2 linked regions of the Sus scrofa genome follow. The protein of the gene in region 1 interacts with the protein of each later gene in a biochemical or structural test. Links are inferred from orthologs where the notes say so. Each region holds a gene or a part of one and is shown on either strand. Other genes may lie near its edges.

Evidence for each region.
Region 2: the proteins of PKD1 (region 1) and HDAC9 form a complex in vitro, tested with the Homo sapiens proteins (2 studies listed by BioGRID, with this or other methods). The link is inferred for Sus scrofa from reciprocal best matches to the Homo sapiens genes PKD1 and HDAC9.

The regions. Positions count from the first base shown.
Region 1 is NC_010445.4:39,870,181-39,878,964, forward strand, and holds part of PKD1 (polycystin-1), read left to right. Parts: intron 1-59; coding exon 60-815; intron 816-1,682; coding exon 1,683-1,814; intron 1,815-1,998; coding exon 1,999-2,174; intron 2,175-2,392; coding exon 2,393-2,526; intron 2,527-3,098; coding exon 3,099-6,718; intron 6,719-6,914; coding exon 6,915-7,064; intron 7,065-8,052; coding exon 8,053-8,196; intron 8,197-8,294; coding exon 8,295-8,574; intron 8,575-8,644; coding exon 8,645-8,784. UniProt on the Homo sapiens protein: Component of a heteromeric calcium-permeable ion channel formed by PKD1 and PKD2 that is activated by interaction between PKD1 and a Wnt family member, such as WNT3A and WNT9B. Both PKD1 and PKD2 are required for channel activity.
Region 2 is NC_010451.4:87,754,226-87,763,009, reverse strand, and holds part of HDAC9 (histone deacetylase 9), read right to left. Parts: intron 5,943-8,784; coding exon 5,701-5,942; intron 507-5,700; coding exon 341-506; intron 1-340. UniProt on the Homo sapiens protein: Responsible for the deacetylation of lysine residues on the N-terminal part of the core histones (H2A, H2B, H3 and H4).

The sequences.
Region 1 (8,784 bases):
CAGGCCCTGGTCACTGGTGGCCCCCTGTGAGGACCAATAGCCCCCTCCCTCTCCTGTAGGTCACCTTCCACGGCCAGGACAGTCCCCTGCTTCCTGGAGACCTTGTCAGCTTGCAGCATGATGCTGGGCCGGGGGCCCTCCTGCGCTGCCCCCCAGCTCCTGGCCACCCTGGCACCCAGGCCCCATACTTCTCCACCAATGCCTCAGCCTGGCTGGCCCGCCTGCCCGCCCAGCTGGAGGCAGCCCCAGCCGGCCTGACCTGTGCCCTGCGGCTGCTTGCTGCCACCGAGCAGTTCACCCCTCTGCTGGGCCTGAGCCCCAACCCAGGGCTGCAGCAGCCGGGGCGCTATGAGGTCAGGGCCATGGTGGGCAACGGTGTGTCCCGGCACAACCTGTCCTGCAGCTTCAACGTGCTGTCCCCGGTGGCCGGCCTTCGGGTCATCTACCCCCCCCCCCACGACGGCCGCCTCTACGTGCCCACCAACGGCTCGGCCCTGGTGCTCCAGGTGGACTCCGGCGCCAACGCCACGGCCATGGCGCGCTGGCCTGGGGGCAACGTCAGCGCCCCCTTCGAGGCCACCTGCCCCATCATGGTGGCTGCCCTGGTGCCTGGCTGCGACTGCGAGGTTAATGCCACCCTGTTCTCGGTGCTGGTGCTGCCCAGGCTCAACGAGGGCGAGCACGAGGTGGACGTCGTGGTGGAGAATGGTGCCGGCCGGGCCAACCTCAGCCTGCAGGTGAAGGCCGAGGAGCCCATCCGCGGCCTCCGTGCCACGCCCAGCCCTGAGGCCCGTGTGCTGCAGGGCGTCCTGGTGGTGAGTGTGGGACCAGGTGCTGTGCAGAGGCGGCCCCTCCCCAGCGAGCAAGCGCCTGGCTGCCAGGACCATGGGCTCGGGGTCCGTCTCTGGGCACGTCCTGTCAGGTGGCTCCTCGGACTGTTGGTTAATTCCTCAACTCCTGGAAAGTCATCTCTAAAGCACAGCTGCTTGGCAAACTCCCTTCTGCCCTCTCATTTCCTGGATCCAGTGTTGGGTTCTTCACCCACTTCTGATGTCACTGATCCTGGGTGTGTTCAGGGCCGCTGCATTGTTCCTACCTGGCTCAAGTGAGCAGTTTTGGAGGCATCACTGCAGGGGCCACTCTGGGAGGGGCTCTTCCCGTCCTGGGGATACCCACCCTGCACAAGGCAGCCACTGGCTCTGCAGCTTGGCACAGGGCCCATTGGGGCAGCTGTGTCCCCTGCCTGGCTTTCCCTGGTCACCCTTGTTCTACCAGGTGACATGGGTAGATGGCGCTGTGCTGACCAGCTAAGGGGCCCTGGGGTAGGGCTGCTCGGACCGAGGTGGGCTGGCTTTTGTCACTGGTACTAGGGCTCCTTCCCAGATGAGGAAACGGAGGTGCAGAGAGGCCGAGGCGTAACCAGACCCAAGCTCGGCCCCATATTGTGTGGCCGCCCCAGCCGTGCCCCAGCCCCCGAACGCACGGTGGCCTGGCCTGTCCCAGGGAGCCGCAGTGGGAGCGGGTCCAGGCGGGCGCATGCGGGTCCAGGCGGGCGCATGGCGGGTCCAGGCGGGCGCATGCGGGTCCAGGTGGGTGCATGCGGGTGGACGGCAGAGTTGGCCCTCAGAAGGCCCTGGGCGGGGACTGGGGCGCGGCCAGCTGACACCGCGCCCTTCCTGCAGAGGTACAGCCCCGCGGTGGAGGCCGGCTCGGACGTGGTCTTCCGCTGGACCATCGACGACAAGCAGTCCCTGACCTTCCACAATGTGGTCTTCAACGTCATCTACCAGAGCGCCGCCATCTTCAAGCTCTCGGTGGGCGGGGCGGGGGCAGGGCGGGGGCTGGGGGTGGTGTTGGGAGGTCACCGCTCCCCTGTGCCTTCTGTTCTGCTTTGCTCTCGAGGACCCCGTGGCGGCTCTGGGTGAGTGCGGGGTGGGGCTGTGTCCACGTTGCCTTCTGGCCCGCTGGTGGCCTGCTCACTGCCTCCTGTCTCCACAGCTGACGGCCTCCAACCACGTGAGCAATGTGACTGTCAACTACAATGTCACGGTGGAGCGGATGCATAAGATGCGGGGCCTGCGGGTGTCAGCAGTGCCACCCGTGCTGCCCCTCAATGCCACGCTGGCTCTGGCAGCCGAGGTGCTGGTGGACTCAGCCGTGGAGGTGGTCTTTCTGTAAGCGTGCTGGGCCCGGTGGGGAGCAGGAGCTGGCCGAGCCTGGGCGGGGCTGGTGCCCCCAGCTTCCTCCCCGCCTGCCAGCGTGTGCCAGGACCTGGGGAAGGGCTGCAGGATTGAAGCCGGGCCGGTGGGATCCTGAAAGGAGGGACAGGGAAAGTGGCAGCTCTTCCCACTCATCCCCCAGCCTGCTCACTGCCTGCCTGTTGCTCTGGCAGGTGGACCTTTGGCGATGGGGAGCAGGTGATTGGCCAGTTCAAGCCTCCATACAACGAGTCCTTCCAGGTCCCAGACCCCACGGTGGCCCAGGTGCTGGTGGAGCACAATGTCACACACACCTACACCGACCCAGGTGAGTGGCAGGCTTGCTGCCTGCCTGCCTCCAGCTTGGGCCAGCCCGGCCCCTTGATCCAGTCCAGGCCGGTGGCCGGGGCCCTCACTAGGGGGAAGAGGCTTCCAGGGCTGAAGGGTGGACTGGGCCTCTGAGACCCACGATTCGAGTCTGCCGGCCGGAAGCTGTGCTCTTCTCTCCCCTCCTGTCTCCTCCCTTGAGCCTTTTTTGGGGGAGAAGGGGAGGTTCCTCTTCATCATTTTTAAAATTCCAGAAGCCTTGCCCACAGAAATGCAGATTAGACAGCGCCCCTGTCACCTCAGCCTGTGTCTGTGCTGCCCTGTTACCCCAAGCTCACGCAGCCCTGGAGACCCCTACTCTCCATCTCCTTCCCACCTCAGCCCATCATCTCGCCCCCTGTGACCGGCTCAGGGCGGGGTCCAGGGGCCTGCCCCCTTCACTCTTGGGCTGGGACCCTGCTTTGCCCTCCTCCCCCAGGTGCCCACGCCCCCAGCACCAGGTCAGACAGGGTTTTGCCGAGCAGGTGGCTGCAGCGGCCCTGATTCCGTCCCCGTTCCGTGACTGTCCACTAGGTGAATACAACCTGACCCTGCTCGTGTCCAACGCCTTCGAGAATCTGACGCAGCAGGTGCCCGTGAGCGTGCGTGCCGCCCTGCCTATTGTGGCCGTGGCCATGGGTAGCCGAGTCTTGGTGGCTGGTTGGCCTGTCACCTTCTTCCCACACCCACTGCCCTTGCCCGGGGGCGTCCTGTACACATGGGACTTTGGGGACGGTTCCCCAGCTGTGACACAGCCCCAGCCGGAGGTCAACCATACATTCGCCTCGAGGGGCGTGTACCCAATCCTCCTGCAGGTCAACAACACTGTCAGCAGCGTGGTGGCAGGGGTCAGCGTCCGGGTCTTCGAGGAGCTCCGTGGCCTGACCGTGAGCCTGAGCCCGGCCGTGGAGCAGGGTGCGCCTGTGGTGGTCCGTGCCATCCTGGATGGGGGTGACAACGTCACGTGGACCTTCGACATGGGGGACGGCACAGTGCTCTCAGGCCCTGAGGCCATGGTGGAGCACGTGTACCTGCGGGCACAGAACTGCACGGTGACCGTGGGCGCGTCCAGCCCCGCTGGCCACCTGGCCCAGAGCCTGCCTGTGCAGGTCTTTGTCCTGGAGGTGCTGTGGATCGACCCCACAGCCTGCATCCCCCCCCAGCCCCACGCCCGGCTCACAGCCCACGTCACCGGCGACCCTGCCCACTACACCTTCGACTGGACCTTCGGGGACGGCTCGTCCAACACGACCGTCCGGGGGGACCCGACCGTGACGCACAACTTCACGCGCAGCGGCACATTCCCCCTGGCGCTGGTCCTGTCAAGCCGCGTGAATAAGGCGCACTACTTCCGCAGCGTCTGTGTGGAGCCCGAGGTGGGCAATGTCACCCTGTGGCCCGAGCGGCAGTTCGTGCGGCTCGGGGACGAGGCCCGGCTGGTGGCCCATGCCTGGCCCCTCTTCCCCTACCACTACGCCTGGGACTTTGGCACTGAGGACATTACCGCCTGCGTCGGGGGCCCCGAGGCCACCTTTACCTACCGGGCCCCGGGTCCCCACCTGGTGACCGTTGCCGTGTCCAACAATATCTCGTCCGCCAATGACTCGGCGCTCGTGGAGGTGCAGGAGCCCGTGGACCTCACAGGCATCGAGGTCAACGGCTCCCACGTGCTGGAGCTGGGGCAGCCCTACCTCTTCTCGGTGGTGGGCCGCGGGCACCCTGCCGCCTACCTGTGGGAGCTGGGGGATGGCGGGCGCCTCGAGGGTCCCGCCGTCACCCACGCCTATGACAGCACAGGCTCCTTTGCAGTCCGGGTGGCCGGCTGGAACGACGTGAGCCGGGGGGAGGCCCGGCTGAACGTCACGGTGCAGCGACGCGTGCGGGGCCTCAGCGTCAACGCCAGCCGCACGGTGGTGCCGCTGAACGGCAGCGTGAGCTTCGGCACCTGGCTGGAGGCGGGCAGCGACGTGCACTACTCCTGGGTCCTCTGCGACCGCTGCACACCCATCCCTGGGGGCCCCACCATCTCCTACACCTTCCGCTCCGTGGGCACCTTCAACATCATCGTGACGGCCGAGAACGAGGTGGGCGCTGCCCAGGACAGCATCTTCGTCTACGTCTTGCAGCACATAGAGGGACTGCAGGTGGTGGGCGGTGGCGGCAGCTGCTGCTTCCCCACCAACCACACGCTGCAGCTGCAGGCCATGGTCAGGGACGGTACCAACATCTCCTACAGCTGGACAGCTCAGCGGGACGGCGGGACGGCCCTGGCCGGCAGCGGCAAAACCTTCTCGCTCACTGTGCTCGAGGCGGGCACCTATCTCGTCCAGCTGCGGGCCACCAACATGCTGGGCAGCACCTCGGCCAACCGCACCGTGGAATTTTTGGAGCCTGTGGGGTGGCTGGCCGCGGCCGCCTCCCCAAACCCAGCCGCTGTCCACACAAGCGTCGCGCTCCGTGCCGAGCTGGCCGGCGGCAGTAGCATCACTTACTCCTGGTCCCCAGAAGAAGGGCTGAGCTGGGAGACCCTGGAGCCCTCCACCACCTATACCTTTTCCACCCCTGGCCTGCACCTGGTCACGGTCACGGCCAAGAACCAGCTGGGCTCGGCCAATGCCACCGTTGAAGTGGCTGTGCAGGTGCCCGTGAGCGGTCTCAGCATCCGGGTCGGTGAACTGGACCGCAGCTTCGTGGCGACTGGCTCCAGCGTCCCTCTCTGGGGGCATCTGGCCTCGGGCACCGAGGTGAGCTGGTGCTGGACCGTGCCGGGTGGCAGCAGGCACGGCCAGCACGTTGCCGTGGTCTTCCCCGATGCCGGCACCTTCTCCATTCAGCTCAACGCCTCCAACGCAGTCAGTTGGGTTGTCGCCACACACAATCTCACAGCGGAGGAGCCCGTCGTGGGCCTGGTGCTGTGGAGCAGCAGGAAGGTGGTGGAGCCTGGGCAGCTGGTCCACTTTCAGATCCTGCTGGCCACCGGCTCGGTGGTCAGCTTACACCTGCAGGTCAGCGGGGCTGGCCCGGAGGCGCTCCCCGGGCCCCACTTCTCCCGCAGCTTCCCCCAGGTTGGGGACTACACGGTGAGCGTCCAGGCCGAGAACCACGTGAGCCGGGCGCAGGCGCAGGTGCGCGTCTCGGTGCTGGAGGCCGTGGGTGGGCTCCAGGTCCCCGACTGCTGCGAGCCGGCCTTCGCCACGGGCGCCGAGAGGAACTTCACGGCCCGGGTACAGCGGGGCTCCCGTGTCGCCTACGCCTGGTACTTCTCCTTGCAGAAGGTCCAGGGGGACTCGCTGGTCATCCTGTCAGGCCGCGACGTCACCTACACGCCCGTGGCCGCGGGGCTGCTGGAGATCCACGTGCGCGCCTTCAACGAGCTGGGCGGCATGAACCGCACGCTCGTGGTTGAGGTTCAGGACGTGATCCAGCACGTGGCGTTGCGCGGTGACCGCTGCTTCACCAACCGCTCGGCCCGTTTCGAGGCGGTCACGAGCCCCAGCCCCCGGCGCGTGGCCTACCGCTGGGACTTCGGGGACGGAGCCCTGGTGGAGGACACAGACGTGCCCTGGGCTGCCCACTCCTACCTGCAGCCCGGGGACTACCGCGTGGAGGTGAATGCCTCCAACCTGGTGAGCTTCTTCGTGGCGCAGGCCACGGTCACCGTCCATGTGCTGGCCTGCAGGGAGCCGGAGGTGGATGTGGCCCTGCCCCCGCAGGTGCTCATGCGGCGCTCCCAGCGCAACTACCTGGAGGCCCACGTCGACCTGCGCAACTGCGTCTCCTACCAGACCGAGTACCGCTGGGAGGTGTACCGCACCGCCAGCTGCCAGCGCCCCAGCCGCCCGGCTCGGCTGACCCTGCCCGGCGTGGATGTGAGCCGGCCCCAGCTGGTGGTGCCCCGGCTGGCGCTGCCCGTGGGCCACTACTGCTTTGTGTTCGTGGTGTCATTTGGCGACACACCGCTGGCCCAGAGCGTCCAGGCCAACGTGACAGTGGCCCCTGAGCGCCTGGTGCCCATCGTCGAGGGCGGCTCCTACCGTGTGTGGTCCGACACGCAGGACCTGGTGCTGGACGGGAGCAAGTCCTACGACCCCAACCTGGAGGACGGCGACCAGACGCCGCTCAACTTCCATTGGGCCTGCGTGGCCTCGACCCAGGTCAGCTGCATGGCGGGGCGGGCGGCCATCCTCCTGGGTTCGCTTCATCGTGGCCGTGAGTGAGCCAGTGGGGGCTGGGGTCTGCCTGGTGGCTCTGATCTCAGCCAGGGGAGGGGGCCCCCCGTCAGCCCCTGGGCTGGGCTCTCCTTGGAGGCAGGGCGCGGGGTCTCACCCCTTACCTGATCACTGGCTGCAGGGTGAGGCTGGCGGCTGTGTGCTCAACTTTGGGCCCCGTGGGAGCAGCGTGGTCACCATCCCTCGGGAGCGCCTGCGGGCTGGCGTGGAGTACACCTTCAACCTGACCGTGTGGAAGGCCGGCCGGCGTGAGGAAGCCACCAGCCAGACGGTGGGTACCGCCCAGGCAGTGCCACAGGTCCTAGGTGGGGGTGCTGCCTGCACATAGCACCGAGCACCCCTTGTTAAGGTTCTCTGTGTTCTGGTGCTTCTGGCGGCTCTGGGTTCTTAGTTACCACCTTTGATAGAAGTCCGCTTTTAGGCGGCGTGCCTTGGGCATTGCATCCTCCCAAGAGGGCTGCAGCTGCACCCGAGCCTCAGGCACAGCCTGGACCCTCACAGGGGTGAGCAGTACACCAGTCTCACAGCACCAAAGGCCCGCGGCCAGGAGACGCGGCTCATCCTTGGAGCAGTGTCCCCTTCTGAACGGGGCAGCGGGGATGCTGTTCTCACGCCTGTGTGGGTGCACACGCACACACGCGCTCCCGAGACTGGCCAGGCGGGTCGGGACTGCATACACTTCCCTCAGTGGCACCACGCCTGCTGCTGGGAAGGGAGAGGTGGACCAGGCCCTCTGGCGCCTCGGGTGGAGTGTCCATCCCGGTACCAGGCCGCTCACAGCTGGGCTGCCCAGGGAGGGGTCCTGCCCAGAGGGGCCATCTGGGGCCAGTGCAGCCCCACCCCACCGACAGCCGAGGGCCCAGCCGGCCTCGTCCTGTGAACACACGTGCCTTGGCGCCTTCACTTGTCTGTCCGCTCACGGCCCCTCTCGGTGCCTGCTGGGTACCAGGCCCAGGTCCGGCCTGGGCTGCTGCAGAAACTAGCCCGTCATGGACTCTGCTCCCTCCTCCAAGCCTGGGAGACACAAACCGCAGGAACATACTGGGTGGAGGCTGGGAGCTCGATCCCTGGGAAGCCTGGGCTTCCGGCTGGCTGGGCCCAGGAGCAGCAGGTGCAGGGGGCCGAGGCCCTGCTCTTCTTTGGGTCCCACTCCCTACCCACCGCCCAGCACACTTGAGGGCCTGGGCCTCAGCAGCAGAGCCCCTACCTGGGCTCCTGACAGGGTGCGTGTGGCTCCTGAAGTCCCGCCCACTCCCCAGGTGCTGATCCGGCGGGGCCGGGTGCCCATCGTATCCTTGGAGTGCGTGTCCTGCAAGGCGCAGGCGGTGTACGCAGTGAGCCGCAGCTCCTACGTGTACCTGGAGGGCCGCTGTGACAGCTGCAGCGGGGGCTCTACAAGAGGGGTGAGCAGGGTGGGCCTTGGCGGGGGTGGGGGTTGGGGGGCGTGCAGTGCAGCGGTAGGGGAACCTGCCCCGAGCACCACGGTCTCTGTGCCCTTCAGCGCTGGGCCGCGCGCACCTTCAGCAACGAGACCCTGGTGCTGGACGAGACGACCACATCCACGGGGAACGCGGGCATGCGGCTGGTGGTGCGGCGCGGCGTGTTGCGGGATGGCGAGGGCTACATCTTCACGCTCACGGTGCTGGGCCGTGCGGGGGAGGAGCAGGGCTGTGCCTCCATCCGCCTGTCCCCCAACCGGCCCCCGCTGGGGGGCTCCTGCCGCCTCTTCCCTCTGGAAGCCGTGCGTGCACTCACGACCAAGGTGCACTTCGAGTGTGGGGGTGAGTATGGCCCTGGGGCCCCGTTGCGGGGGGCACGCGGGGACCCTGCTGACACTGTGGGGGCCCCCAGGCTGGCAGGATGCTGAGGATGCGGGCGCCCCTCTGCTCTACGCCCTGCTGCTGCGGCGCTGTCGCCGGGGCCACTGCGAGGAGTTCTGCGTCTACAAGGGCAGCCTCTCCACCTATGGGGCCGTGCTGCCACCCGGCTTT
Region 2 (8,784 bases), on another chromosome or scaffold:
GTAATTATTACTTGAGCAGGAGGAAGGCATGGAGTAATGTGGAAGTAAGTTTATTATTGAACAGAATGGCAGAGCTATATTGCCTTAGTATAACATTATTTTTAAGGTTCAAAACAAGGGAAATTGGTATCTTTGCCAAACAATGCTATGTTTACTTTTGGAGATGCCCATAAACTGAATGTAGAGAGCTGACATGTGAATGTCAAAGCTTTACATTTGGGTTCATAATTTATCGTTTTACTTAAACACAGACAATTTTGACAAGTTTAATTCCGCTCTTTATCAGGCTCTTTTCTGAATGACGATCAGCTAAAGATGAGGGAAGAGATCCATCTTTTACCCTGGTGCCTCTTACTTTCTCGTCCTCTATCTTTGCCTCTGAGAGGAGGAAGCTGCTGTTCTCTGCGATGCCTCTCTACTTCCTGTTCTTGCCTCTGCTGCTCCAGTTTCTGCTCCTTTTCTAGGAGTTCTTGTTGCTGTTTTATGGCTAGAAGTTCCTGTTGCAACTTGCGAGAAGAGAAAGACATGAGAGTGTGCAATTTCTTTAAGGCTTCATAGTCATCAAAGTCCAAAATTGAAATTGGAACTTATTTGTATTTACAGTTTACCCACTTTTTTGTGTACTACTGAAATCTAAAGACAAGCAACTAGTGCCATAGATGGTGTTTTTTTGGGAAAAAAAAAGTTTTTATTGGAGGATAGTTGATTTACAATGTTGTGCCAATTTCTGCTATACAGAAAAGTGACCCAGTCATTCATATATATATATGACTATATATATATATATACACACACACACACACACACACACACACATTCCCTTTGCTATATTATTTTCCATCAGAGTTAATCTCAACAGACTTGATATATATAGTCATTAACAAGAAAGTTTTTAGGCAGCTTCATCACCTACATCGCCCTATCAAAATGTTACCAAATTCATTCAGATCTTCAGTTCCTTAGTGACTTTTCTTTATACATCTGAAATATATGACACAGGCAAAGAAAGGCAGGACTTCCCAAGTCTTTCACAATATTAAAAACAACTGAAATCTTTACTTCTTATTCTGAGAAATGGTTTGAACATAAACTGAATAGGATAGTGCGATTTTAGTTAATTTGGGGGAAATCTACCAGAAATAAAATGAATGCTAAAAATTTCAAAATCCTACAGAGGAAGTTTTCAATAGATGAATGCATTCCATATATCCATAGCAAGCTTTTCTCTCAAAATAGCAAAAGTCTGGTTGGTTCACACAAAGCTCTGCAGATTAGAGAAACTGATCAAGAAGAATTCACTCCCATAAGACTATGCTTTGATGTACTATTGTCTGGCTGTCTGAATTCCTTGAATTCACTTCCACATAATGTACAACAAGAATGTGAAGCATTCTCAATAACCATGTTGAGATGTCAGATTTCTCTCAGACTGAGAAATAGACATTTATGATTAATAGTAAGTGTTCCCCCTGAGGAGTAAGTAAAGACTCTGAGTTCTACCAGGCTCTGACATTACTAGATATGAGATATAGACAACTTACTACACTCCTCAAAGCACTGGTTCCTCATATGTAAGACAGAGAAATAATCTCCCTCATACATCATGTTCATAATACATATGAAATTTAGGTTGTAAGTTTGAATTATACTAACTTTGCTTACTAGTACTATTTTAAACTCAATACTAATGGAGTTAGTGTAATTTGCTGTTTATATTAGATGCCTAGAACTCTGAAATTGACACTGAAAAGTAACAAAATAAGAATAAAAAGTTATGTGGAATGGCATCTGAGTCACTCTGGAGCAACAGATAGCCAACTCTATATGTCAAACACAACAGCTTTCCTCATCCCAGAAGGATAGGGTTAGAAGCATTTCTGGTTACTTTTCATATTAAGATCTGGAGCATTTTGGATTTGACCTACTAGTCTCTTAATGGGTGTTTCTAGATACTCCAAAAATTTCCAAATTCTGCTAACCAAAAATTTCATAATTCTGCTTCAACTTTGCCTTAAATGTTAATTCTATATAGATATTGGGGTTGGTCATAGATTCACTCAAAGCCCCAATGGAACTGAATGTTAATCTCTCTTTGGAGTCTAGAAAAACATACAATTTAATTTCCATCGCTACTATTCATTATGGAAGATTGGAGGAATGAAATTGAAAAGAAAAAAGAAACAAAACTTCACTCCTCTAGTTTAATATATTCCAGTGCAAGACAGAGGCAGGAACAATTAGGTGCTTTGGAGGCAGACAAGCTACAAATACTGGAGCATCCATTTACTGGCTGTGTGGTCTGGAACAGGTTACAGCATTTCTCTCTGCCTCAGATTACTGGCTGGGAAAATAGGATAATAGCATCTAATTCAACAGATGTAGACTATAGAAGCCTAAGATGAATCTTAGGCCAATATAAACACAAATATAAGTAAAGCATCATACTATGCCTTCCTCATAAAAACAAAATGTAAATGAATGTTAAATGCACCAACTTTTAGCCTTGCTCATAAAAAATGCAAAACAATAAAAATTTTAAAAATTAAACCAAAAGAACTCCTTAAACTTAAAAGAAAACAACTTATTATTACTTTAAAAAATCAATCCAGGAGTTCCTGTTGTGGCTCAGTGGTTAACAAATCCGACTAGGAGCCATGAAGTTGTGGGTTCGATCCCTGGCCTTACTCAGTGGGTTAAGAATCTGGCGTTGCTGTGAGCTGTGGAGTAGGTCGCAGACACGTGGCTCGGATCCCAAGTTGCGGTGGCTCTGGCATAGGCAGGTGGCTACAGCTCCGATTCGACCCCTAGCCTGGAACCTTCATATGCCGTGGGAGTGGCCCAAGAAATGGCAAAAAGACAAAAAAAAAATCCAAAATCTAAGTTTTGCTTTTAGTTATCGCAGAATCATTTTTCTTTTCCCCTTTTTATACTATCTTCCAGATGTCAGTAGACCTGCTATATCCTACCTTGTTTGGGGCAAATTAACAATTACCAATTTGCTTCTATTAACTTTTGAATAAACTCAAACAATTAATTACTTTAAAAATGTTTATGCTGATCTTTACAACTACAAAAGGCATCAAATATAAATGAAAAGAAATATCTAAATCTGACACTTATCAATATTGCCCTATATTAGGGCAATACAACTTGCACACCACAGCAGAATGAACCAGATAGCTACTTAAATCTTAAAGTATGGTGAAGAATATAAGTTTTACCCATTTGTCGCCATTGTCATCCTAACATGCCCAGAATGAATGAAGAAGAAAAGCTAGACATCTATTACTGTTTCAAATAATAATGTTTCAGAATCATTCAAAAATAAGTCTATGAACTAAATCAAAGTATCCTATACTGTAAAATATAGCCATGATTCCATGTGGGTCTCAAACCAAAATCCTTACTCTTATTTTAAGGTCTTTTACAGAGCAAAAAATCGCAAGCGTTCTTTTAGTCAAGTTCACTAAAAGGAGAAAAAATTTACATCAGGTGTCAAAGAAGCTTTTTTTGAAAATTAGATAAAATAGGCCTTCTAGGCTAAGGAAATAGAGAATAAGAAACATAAGGAAGAAATAGCATTTTTACCTTCTGAGATGCTATAATATCAATGTGGTAAAATTATATAATATTAACATAATTAGTTATTTATATTACCCCACACAAATGTGCTTGTATTTGATATGCAAGTGGGTAAAAGAGCAAGTGCCTATAATATAATATAGTAAGATATGATATAACACATAATTTATTTTATTCATAAATTTATTAATAAACTCAAAATTATTCATTAAATTAATAGATTTATTTTAATAATTAATATTTTATTAATAAATTAGCATTCAGTTAAGTCATTTTTGAAGGAATTGGACATAAAAATGCACTTTTTATTATGGAGTTCCTGCTGTGGCACAATGAGATCGGCAGTTTCTTGGGATCACTGGGATGCAAGTTCAATCCCTGGCCTGGATCAGAGCATTAAGGATCCAGCATTGCCCTAGGTGTGGCTTATGTTGCAACTGCAGCTCAGATCTGATCCCTGGCCTGGGAACTCCATATGCTGCAGGGTGGCCAAAAAGAAAAAAAAAGAACTTATAAATATCTGGGGCTTTATATTACTGTCATAATAAATTCAAATTAAACATCCACTAAGTCAAACCAAAATAGCTTTGTTTCAAATATCTTTTTTAAGAAGTTCCCACTATGTTGCAGTGGGCTTAAGTATCTGGCATTGTCTCTGGGTGGCATGGTTTCCATCCCAGGCTAGGTCCAAGTTAAGGATCCAGAATTGCCACAGCTATGGCATAGGTGTTGCAGCTGTAGCTTGGATTCAACCCCTGGCCCAGGAACTCCCATATGCCAGAGCTGTAGCCCTGGGTGTGTGTTGGGGGGAGATGCTGAAAGACATAAAAAAATGAAGTAATATTTATCTCAAGATACAAGAGAATAAACAGATACACAGACACATTTAGAATGATCTGATAATAATATAGTCCATCAAAAAATTCTGGGATATGGACATATTCTCCTAGAATAATTTAAACAATTTGGGTCTCAAATTGTTAACTACTCCCAAAATTCTTTCAATAAATTCTTATCTATAGTCTCTTAGACTTATATGAAAACACTGAAAATATCTGCACCAGCTTCTTTATATATAATTCTATTGAGCTTTTCATTATGTTATTATTTTATATGTATATACATTATGAGGTCTTTTCCATAAGGAAGGTTAAGACATATTCAGAACATCCACTTACAGACAAAAGACAAAAATAAAAAATAGAAAAACGCTTGGAGTTTCTGCCATGGCTCAGCGAAAACGAATCTGACTAGCATCCATGAGGATGCAGGTTCGATCCCTGGCCTCACTCAGTGGGTTAAGTATCCAGCGTTGCCGAGAGCTGTGGTGTAGGTTGCAGACATGGCTCAGATCCTGCGTTGCTGTGGCTGTGGCTGTGGTGTAAGCCAGCAGCTACAGCTCTGATCAGACCCCTAGCCTGGGAACTCCCATATGCCATGGGTGGGGCCCTAAAAAGACAAAATAAAAGAAACAGAAAAAGGCTCTTGGAGTTCCCTTGTGCTGCAGCAGGTTAAAAATCTGGTGTCGTCACTGCAGTAGCTTGGATTGCTGCTGTATTAGGAGATCAATTCCTGCCCTGGGAACTTCCATAAGCTGTGGACATAGCCAGAAAAAAAGAAAAGAAAAAGGCTCTGTCTTCACATAATGTGACTAATTTATCCTCTCTGGTAAATACTACGCAGATCCTTTAGAAATAGAAAATGGCTCCTTCCAAGCTCATGGATCATCTTGGTGGAGAGCAGATTAGGCAAATGGACAAAATCATGAGGAAGAAAAATCTAAAAAAGGGTGGGAAAGTTACTATTCCCTACCACAGATGCTGTAAACTAAAGGATAAAAGAGTATAGAGGCCCCTCTCCGAGAAGAAAAGCAGGGTTTTCTTGCCAGGTTTTTTTGCCAGGTTTCCTACTACTTACCCAATTTTCAACCTCTGCTCTAAATCTGCCTGTTCCCATAACTGTGTTAGAACTGTGCCTCTAATTAGTACAACCACAGTGCCCTTCCAGCCATGCATCCACATCTTATCACAGTGGAACAGCCCCCCGTGCTCCTCCTATGCCCATGTTATGGCACAGGCTCCCTGAGTCAAAGGTCAGAGACAAAGAAACGTTTGCTACCTTGATGTGCTCCTGAAGTTGAGCCTGATGCTGCCGTGTCAAGTTCTCATGCTGTTTCTGAAACTCTGCAATCAAGAGCTGCTTCTGGATTTGCTGCTGTTGCTGAATGAGCAATAACTCCTGCTGCAGTTGCTTCTCACGGACAACAGGGTCCACCACAGGCATCATCATCCTGAGGTCTGTCCTTAGGTCTAAAGGCGAGATGGGCTCCAGGCCCACAGGAACCTCTGACTTCACATCCACTGGAGACACAGAAAGAAAGAAAAAAAAAGAGTGAGAGAGTGACAGAGGATAGAAAATTATCACGCTGACTTAGAAGCAAAAAGTGAAGGTCACTATCCTCCATTCAACAAATTTTACCTCAACAAATCTATTCCTTTTTTTCAAAATGATGATAAAAGGTCTTCTGTATATCAGTTTTGATAAAATGAACCATATGCTAATTTTAGCCTGCAATTTGTACTCTGCCATGAAATCTTCCACATCTCCCTTTTTCAAAGAGATGATGCCAAAGAAATATTGATACAAAACTTATTCTACTGGACCTCTCGCCAAATTCAAGTCAACTTAGGACAAACAAGTGCAACTCTATTGAGGAAAAAAATGTACATTATACAAAAAACTTCTAACCCAACAAAATTTTTGCACTTGCAAACAATTTTGTTTGTAACCAAAGTCAGAAGATATATTATAAGACATATGCCTTATGAAGTAAAGCTTTTAACATAATGTATTTATTTGGTTATTGGACTAGCAAAGAAAAAGTACAAATCTGCATGCATGCTAAAATGTGGGAAATGATAAGAATAAAGAATATATAGACCCAGTGTAGACAGGAGTCACCTAATTTTCCACTTGAAATATTTTTTAAAACGTAACACCATGGGAACCAAAAAAAAAAAAAAAAAAAAAAGATTCTGTAAGTCGACTGTGACATGCAGGCTGCCAATTTTCAACCTCTGTTCTAAATCTGCCTGTTCCCACAACTGTGTCAGAAAGTATGTTGTTACCCTGTATTTTAAGTTCTCTAGGTCTCAGTTCCCTCATATGTAAAATGGAGATAATTACCATTACAGTCATAAAATAAAGTTGTTAAAAGGATTAAATGAGATCACCCACTCAAATGACTGACAACATATAGCACATTCCTCAATAAATGCTTTATGGGTTTTTTTTTAATTATGTAAAAATGGAAATTTCCTATAGGTTTAAATAAAGCATCAATAATGTGGGGCTAACCAAACAAAAATATGAGGATCAAGTATGAAAATATAGCTGTATATGATTTCTATTAAATATTAGGGGGGAAAAACACTAAAACTTCTAGAAAAAATTTAAAACAAGAAAACAATATAGCTAAACAACTAAAACAGTCCACCTTCACTATTAAAGAAATGCATACTTTAAGTCACTATCAGGGATCATTTGCTAATTATATATACATATGATTCACATATAGGCAGATGTGTAGGTACAACAACATCCCCTTGCATAAGATAAACATACGACTAAGTAGAAAATTATGTATTGCAAATGGCACTGCCAACTGGTTTAAAACTTTCAAGAAAGCAGTATGTGATATAATAATTTGGTGATATGTATCAAAAGGCATTAAATATTTCAACCATTTGATTCAAGTTTGCCAACTCTAGGAATATATCTTAAGGAGATACTACTAGAGGAAGAAACAGTTCAAGGTCATATTGTTTACTCAAGTATTATTAAGTTAATTGAAATCACCTACTACAAGGAAATGTTCAGTAAAATATGTCACATCCATTAGGTGGAAAAATATGCAATCATTAAAAATAATGTTTATGGCAACATGAAAAATGCAGTTAAAACATTAAGTGAAAGAACAATGATAAAAGTGACATATACACTATGATAAAACTCTTTAAATATCATTTAATTTAGTCAGTATACATTTATTGAAAACCTTAAGATTCTCAAGTTCATTCTAAATGTTTCTGTTTTACTCCAGAACCCATGACAAAAAAATTCTAGCCTTCATAGAGCATATATTTTATTGGGGATTTAATGGTATTAGTCTTTGGATTCTATTCGCAAAGCCTGGTGAGCTAGAGAACAAAATAAGGTGATATTTGGGGTGGAAATATGAATAATTTTCCCCCTTCTACTTTTCCATATTTTTCCAAATTGCATCTAATGCTCTGACTACTACTCTGAGTAACTTAAATTTATAGATTCTAGGTTGGGAACCACAAAGTTAATATCCCATGTAGACATAAGAGCTATTTTCAGCAATCAAGAAAGCCTAACAGAAATCCTGTCTATGGAAGTTAAGGCTTCAAATACTAAATGAAACATTAATGTCCTGTTTATCATCTGTGTGCACATACAGGCATATGTGTGTGTGTGGGCATGTAGGGGTGGACTGCAGGAACTGCTATCAGTCTTGGTTGTTAACACTGGTGATTTTTCAATGTATAAATCAGAAGAGCTCACATTAATGGAACTGCAGATGTCACTTGAATGAAAATGGGAAAACAGTTTATTAATAAGCCATATTTGGTGGACAACGGTCTTCTAAAACATGATGTTTATGAAAGGAAAAATATTAATTATAATAAGTACGGAACTAAATGAGGATGATAATGGCTGGTAAGACCTCTTGGTCACAGTGTCCAATGCACAACTTTCAATTAAGGTTCTAAAGTAACATGAGATTTCTGAGCATTCATTTATAGAGGTGGCATAATCCCAACCCAAACCAAAGGCTATTAATGATATATTTCATTTTTACATTTAAGGCCAACTAAAACCTCAGTTTTTACATGGACATCCCAATAAACAAATTTAATCCTATAAAGACAAAATGTAAAATTTCAAGAGCCCCTAGGGTATCTTCTTGCTGGCATTCTTACTACTCATAAACTATAACCATCATCCCCTCAAAAAAGTGCCCCTCAAAAAAAGATAAGGGAAAAGAAGAATCGCGGTATTCTCCAAAACAGCTAATGTAAGCCTCAAAGGGTAATTTGACTTCTTAACCTACTATCCCAACAGAAATGATTGTGCCTAACTGCTTGCCTTTGTTCAGAGACTAATCACTAAATTGTG